2 linked regions of the Mus musculus genome follow. The protein of the gene in region 2 interacts with the protein of the main gene of each other region in a pairwise test. Links are inferred from orthologs where the notes say so. Each region holds a gene or a part of one and is shown on either strand. Other genes may lie near its edges. The genes, in order: Hoxa3 and Sec23b.

Evidence for each region.
Region 1: the proteins of Sec23b (region 2) and Hoxa3 interact in binary tests that used the Homo sapiens proteins (3 or more experiments, as listed by UniProt). The two-hybrid records come from large-scale screens. The link is inferred for Mus musculus from reciprocal best matches to the Homo sapiens genes SEC23B and HOXA3.

Annotation. Positions count from the first base shown.
Region 1 is NC_000072.6:52,168,473-52,172,041, reverse strand, and holds the end of Hoxa3 (homeobox protein Hox-A3), read left to right. Parts: intron 1-1,299; coding exon 1,300-2,102; 3' UTR 2,103-2,980; downstream 2,981-3,569. UniProt on the Homo sapiens protein: Sequence-specific transcription factor which is part of a developmental regulatory system that provides cells with specific positional identities on the anterior-posterior axis.
Region 2 is NC_000068.7:144,569,419-144,573,234, reverse strand, and holds part of Sec23b (protein transport protein Sec23B), read right to left. Parts: intron 757-3,816; coding exon 633-756; intron 1-632. UniProt on the Homo sapiens protein: Component of the coat protein complex II (COPII) which promotes the formation of transport vesicles from the endoplasmic reticulum (ER).

The sequences.
Region 1 (3,569 bases), on a different chromosome or scaffold from region 2:
CAGCCTAGGAGGAGAGAAACATCTCCAGAAATGTGCCCTCCCCGCCCCCCCCCCCCACACACACCAGGGAAAACAAATCTTTCCAGAATCTTTGCTACTTAGGAAGGTGATACGGTTACTGTGAGAGGATCCCTCAGACATAAATCTGACTGAAGTCCCTCTGGGCCTCTCTAAGGCGGTTTGAGCCTGGTGAAGTTGGAATCCCTCCTTGTTCCAGTGTTGGGAATTCTGACCTCTAGATAGAACCATCTTTAGGACCACTGTCTCTCTAAGCACACAACTCCTTTTTTCCTGGGCAAACAGTGGCATCCTCCCCATACTGAAACGTGGCAGAATAAAAGCAGGCCCACTCATCCCCCGGGTCAGAATCAATGCTTGGTCTATGATCAGAGCCAATGTTTTCTGCAGCAGATGGACTGGCTGCCTTACTTCTGGGAAGGCCTTGCTCAGTCTTAGTACAATGCAGGAGGCAGCCGGGCATCCCCTGGGGGAGGGGATTCGGCTTGTCATCCTAATGGGAACCACATGGGGCTTTGGGAACTGGACTCCAGTGGGGGAGCCTTAGCCTCAGGGACTTGGGTTTCCAAGCCTCTAGGTTACCTTGGCCCCTTCCTCTCTGGTTTCCTTTGCTCTCTCCTCCAGAACTGGTATTTGGGAAGCCAAGGAGGACAGGAGGCACAAATGCAATGGTCCAAATTGGGGCAGCCTTCATGGTGACATTGAGAACCAAATGACCAAGACTCTGTAAGGGTCTGGTAGCTAGAACTAGGTATCTCCAGTGAGGTCTAGTCTCCTTTGGTCAGAGAAGGCCTTCCAGTTTGACAATACCAATCTGTTACTCTTTTCTTGGGAGATACTGAAAAACTGGTTAGTAGAAGCTAATGGCTGGTCACACAGGCAGGATGCATGCATACACTAGGTCTCCTACATTTTCCAGCGACTGAAGGAATCAAGATAGTGGCACCCGCTCACAGGAAGCTTGTTGTCTGATGGGCCAGGAAATAAGCTGGCCGAGTAAAATAGAGAGGAAGTTCAGGCCAGCAAGGCAAGCAGGAGGCTCTGCAGCTCTGTCCTCTCCTTGAAGAAGCCCCTGATTCGCTCCTTAGAGGAAGGAAGGGCAGGCTAACCAGGCTGTTTCCGCAGACCAAGAGAGGACCACAGCACTGAAGTCCTGCTCCTCTCTGGCCTTGGACAGAGGCTTCTGTGGGGTGAAGAAAGGAGGGGCAGGCCTAGGACTGGGGAGCTAGGCGGGGTCGGTAGCAGCCCCTGACACCGCTCTTCCTCTCTGTGTCCTGGCAGGGGAGAGCTGCGCTGGTGACAAGAGCCCGCCTGGGCAGGCCTCGTCCAAGCGCGCGCGCACGGCGTACACGAGCGCGCAGCTGGTAGAGCTGGAGAAGGAGTTCCACTTCAACCGCTACCTATGCCGGCCGCGCCGGGTGGAGATGGCCAACCTGCTGAACCTCACCGAGCGCCAGATCAAGATCTGGTTCCAGAACCGCCGCATGAAGTACAAGAAAGACCAGAAGGGCAAAGGCATGCTGACCTCGTCTGGGGGCCAGTCCCCAAGTCGGAGCCCTGTGCCTCCCGGTGCAGGAGGCTATCTGAATTCTATGCATTCGCTGGTCAACAGTGTCCCATATGAGCCCCAGTCACCCCCTCCTTTCTCCAAGCCTCCCCAAGGCGCCTATGGGTTGCCTCCGGCCTCCTACCCTGCTCCCCTGCCCAGCTGCGCTCCCCCACCTCCCCCACAGAAACGCTACACAGCGGCGGGGTCAGGCGCAGGGGGCACCCCTGACTACGACCCGCATGCTCACGGCCTGCAGGGCAATGGCAGCTATGGGACCCCACACTTACAGGGAAGCCCCGTCTTCGTAGGGGGCAGCTATGTGGAGCCCATGAGCAACTCTGGGCCACTCTTTGGCCTAACTCACCTCCCCCACACCACCTCGGCTGCCATGGACTACGGGGGCACTGGGCCGCTGGGCAGCGGACACCACCATGGGCCGGGGCCTGGGGAGCCACACCCCACCTACACGGACCTTACTGCCCACCATCCTTCTCAGGGAAGAATTCAGGAAGCGCCCAAGCTCACCCACCTGTGATGATGGGCCCAGGGCTGTGAGCCAGGAGAGTTGCCCACCCGACCTTCTTTGGTTACTTTTTCCTTTTTTTGTTTTGTTCTATGTTCTTGCCTTTCCCTTTTCTCCTCTGCACCCCTCCCTCATTTTGTTTTCTTTGGTAATGCGTTTTTATAGTTTATGTGACGTAGCAATCTTGGTTGCTGGAAAGGCTGTCAGTATCAGTAGCAACATTTACCACCACCCCTCCTCGCCCTGGCCTCTGGCCCTGCATCCTTTTCCTTCTCTACTCTTTGATAAGAAACAGGGTATATGAACAAACTTTCTAGTCGAGTTTTCAATGTGAATTTGTTCATACTTTATGGCTCCCGAGAGGAAGCAACTGCGTTTTTTTTTTTTAAGTTTTAGTTTTTAAAATTGCACTTCTTGTACTGATCGAGAAAAAGAAATCAAAGGCGCTTTGAAACAGGGACTCCCTGTGCAAAGATGACTACGTGTACGTCTTTCCGTGTGTGTGTGCTTGTGAACAGTCAGATTTATTTATATTTTTTGCAAGCATTGAATAGTCTAAGTTTTAAATATTATTTATCCCCATCCGTTCGTATTTATATTAAAGAAATTCTGTACCCTGATTGTTCAGAAGGTTTCTTGAGCCTTTTGTTCAATGGTGTATTGGCATACATATAAAATTTATTTGAAAGGGAAATAAAATTCCTTTATTAAAAACCGTAGCAATGCAATAAGAACAGAGAGGACCCAGAGTTTGAAAATAGTGGTTTAGGTTTGTAACATCTGGCCAAACTGAACGCTAAAAATGCTAGATTTGTTTTGAGAGTTTTACATTCCTTGCTGCTCACATTCTGAGAAACAAAACAAAAAAAATAAAGTTTTTATTCTGATTACGATCCGTGTCAAAGGGGGTTCTTTGGCTGGACACGGGTCTCTGCGTGGAGTTCTGGCAGAAGCGAACTGTCAGCGGCTGCGGCAGCACCGCGACTCTGGCGTGAGGCCTGGTCCAGCGTCTGCCTTGGAAGCTCGGCGAGTTCTGGGGATAGAGGCCGCGGTTTCAAGTGGCTGCCGCAGCTCGGGAAATGCCAGGCTCCCGGCCCGCTGAGCTGCCTGGTTCCCAGCTGCCGCCCAAGCAGGGCGCCAGGCTGCTAAGTGCAGAGCGGCCTGGCAGAAACAAAGGCGGCCGGCCTCGGGCTCAGCGGGGGGCGCACAGGTGCGGGACGCCGACACCAAGAACCCGGGGCTCCTCTCCATTCCCCCGCACCGAAAGCCCATCGGCCAAGGCCTCAACCTTGGAACCGCACAAGGTCTTAAGCTCTTCCCACAAGCTATCGAATTCCAGGTCTCCACTGAGGATGCTTCGCGGTTCATTATCACGCCTAAAGAAGATGGGGGGGACGGGACTCTTCTAAATTCACCTCAAAAGGGACCTACTCTCCCTTAGGTCTCCAGAAAAAGGACTGAGCTTCATAGTCCTCCAGG
Region 2 (3,816 bases):
TTCTTGGTTTCTCAATTACTTAAGAGTCTGCTGTCTAGGACCCTGATTTCCCACACAGTATCAGAACACCTGAGTTCCTCTTAAATCTAAATCCCACTCTGCAGTGCAGTGGCTCACACCTATAGCTGGGTGGATACTGACCACGTGTGACTTGCCTGTCATCAAGCCCCAGTACAGCAACCAACGCCCACCCCAAACCCCACTAACTCTCCCTATCCTAAACCAGGGTGGAACAGAGCCGGGCCTGGGGGGAAAGAGGAACTTTCTGTTTAGGACTTTAATAAACACATGGGTAACCCTTGAGAAGCAAACTTTGTGATAACCATCTGGTTGGATCCTTTTAAGTGGTCATTAAAGCTTACGTCTAGCAGCCTAGGCTGCAGTGTCTGAACTGAACCACACTAATGCCAGTGAAGTTTCAAATGTCTGTAATATGGATGAGTACAGTGCAGCACAGAGTCTGAGGCCAGCCTGGTCTATATAGTGATTACAAGTCAGCTGAAGGTACACACAGTGAGACCCTGACTCAGATAAATAATAAATAAATAAATATTTATCATGGACATAGGAAAGTTCTATAAGCTAATTATATAAGATAGTTAAAATACAACTTTTCTAAAAGCCCACTGCACCTTTACATCCAACGTAGCACCAAACGCCATTCTGAAATCTCCGTTGAAGTCTTTACTAAAAATTCTTTGGAATGTCTGCTTGAAAAGAGAAGTGTTGAAAGAATCTCCCATCACCATGTGGCCTCTAGATAAGAAAGGAAGAAAGTATACATTTAAAAGGATTGGAAGTCATTTGGTTGTTCCCTTAAGATTCACAAACAATTTACACACATACACACACACACACACACACACACACACGCATGGGGGTGGGGGGGTGGGGAGGGGGGAGAGCGCCATGTCCGCACAGATGCTACTGATTAACTTAAATGAAAAACAACAAGTTCTATTTGTACTTAGGGAAGAAACCATCTCGAAAACATTAAAGAACCCTTAGAACAGTTCTAGGGGGGTGAGAAGGTGCCTCGGTGGGTAAGGGCACCACTAAGCCTGGTAACTTCAGTTCAATCAATCCTAGGACCCACATGGTAGAGAAGAGGAACCAGCTCCCCACAGGTGGCCCTGACTTCCATACAAGTCCCATAGCATGTATGTGCATCCACATACATACACACACATAAACACATACAAAAGAAGTAGATGTAAAAATCGTTTAAGATGCCAATTCTATATTTTAATCACCATACACAAATGTACAGAGATAGTAAAATCTTGCTGGTTATACTCACAGAGAAATAAAACAAGCACCAGTCTGCAGGAAACCCACAGTCTGCAGTTTTAGTAACTGCACTGTGCCATTTCCATTCTTGAAGCTGAATGATACATTTGGCTTAAGTGCTACCCTCGGGGATGCCAAATGAGGAATGTAAAGACCTCCTCTACACTCCCTTCACATTCACTAGTCCCATGAACCTATAATCATTCCAATAGGTGGTATACTCCTATTCTCCAGAACTTAGGAGGCTGAAGCAGAAGAATTGTAAGCTTGTGGCCATCCAGGGCTACACAGTAAGACCTTAAACAAACAATGCCCCTTCAATCAACAAACTCTTCAGCAAAAATAACTTACTGATTCATTCTCTCTCTCTCTCTCTCTCTCTCTCTCTCTCACACACACACACACACACGCACACGCACACACATGCACACATGAACTGCAGCTGGGGAGTATTTTTGGGTTATCTCTCTTTCTTAGAATTCTTCACCTAAAATATTTTAGCAGTCACCAGCATTTCCTTCCTCCCCATCAGGTGTCTCTAGGTCATCACATACGTATGTATGTATGTATGTATGTATGTATGTACGTACTTACGTCCACCCCAGCCCCCAAATTGAATGGTTAAAAGAAAAAGCATACTATCTCAGCAGAAAAACCCAGCACTAAGGGTTCCCCAGTGATTTTCCAGGAAAACCATCTACTACCCTCTAGTCCAGGCTGGGGTCACTGTGACTTTGCCTGCATTCATCCTCCTAGACCAGAACCTGGACTTCTGTTGTTTTCAAGGCTGTTTTAGTGTTCCCTCCCCCCACCACACACCTCATTACATGTGTCCATCTCCACATATGTGTGTAGTAAGTTTATGTGTGGGTGTACATATGCCATGGAGGGTACAGAGGTCAGAGGACAACCTGCAGGAGTTGGTTGTCTCCTTCCACGTATGAGGACCAGGGACTAAATGTCTCAGACTTGGTGGCAGACAGGTACCTTTCTCTGCTGAGCCATCGTTTTTATTTATTTATTTATTTAAAATATTTATTTATTTATTTATTTATTTATTTATTTTATGTATGTGAGTACACTGTAGCTGTCCTCAGACACACCAGGAGAGGGCATCAGATTCCATTACAGATGGTTGTGAGCCACCATGTGGTTGCTAGGAGTTGAACTCAGGACCTCCAGAAGAGAAGTCAGTCCTCTTAACCCTTGAACCATCTCTCCAGCCGCCTACTGAGCCATCTTGCTAGCACTTGTGCTATTCTTTTTTGTTTTCTTTTGGTAAGGGGGCTTTTCTTTTTAAAGACAACTTCTTGCTATACAGCCCAGGCTAGCCTTGATCACAAGATCCTCCAGAGTATTGGTGTTACAGGTATGCCCACCATCTCTAGTACATCTGACCCACTCCCAAACAGTTTCAAATGACTTAGATCCTATCTTCTATGCCCTCCCCTAAGAGAGCAGAGAAGAATCACTACAGAGGTTGATTAGAAAGGCAGAAGTATGGACCAGGAGTTGGTTCAACAAGTAAAGTGCTTGCCACCAAGCAACCAAAGTTCAATCTGAGTTCCACACAGTAAAGAAAGATAACTAAGATAACTAACTCCCAGTGTCCTCTGACCTCTACATGTCTACATGGCTCTCTCTCTCTCTTATGCTCTCTCTCTCTCTCTCTCTTTCACACACACACACACACACACACACACACACACACACACACACATAAACAAAATTTAAGTTAAAGGGAAAAGAGCTACAGAATCTCCAGCCCCACACATGGCTCTCTGTAGCTATGGCTCCTCGAACTGTGCATTGTATTCCAGTCCATAGGATCTTGGGCAAATGTAGGTTTCGATTCAGCAAGTGGGAAATGAGGGCTAAGAGGACCCTAGAGAAACTAAGGCTGTGTGTGCTCAAACTGTTCTATATTAGAATCACTGGAGGGAAACTGAAGAATGCTGATACCCAAGCCACGATCCGTGTCCATTGCATTAGGCTGTAGGGGGCTGGGGGTGGAGAACATGACAGACACAGCGGCTTCTCTCATTGTCCTTTCACCAGAGTTCCCTAGGCGACACTAATGTGCAGCTGAGCATCAGACTCAGGGATCCACCTCAGTGCTTCTTGCACGTTCAAGAGCACCCAAATCTAGAGCACTGCTCCCCAAGAGCTCTGGATGGAGAGGGTCTGAAGAAAGCCAAAGAACACTCCTAATCATTTCCCAGGAGCCCGAGGTTCTTGATCACCGCAAGCTGAGAATTTATTCTATGTGTTCACTTGAGGACAATAGGACTTGGTAGCAAGTGTACCCCATAAAGTGACAGTGTGACTGACATTCATCAAAGAGTCATTAGCCAGGTCAAGCCTCTTCTAATTACTTGACACTGACACTCAGATGGCATTTACTCATTATCACAGACGTGCACTGCTGGAGGCCAGGTACTCTACACTAGCTTGATGGCCTAGTATGCTGGCAAGTCTAACAATTCCAAAGAAGAAACAAAGTTACTGGGATGCAACTTGTTCCCA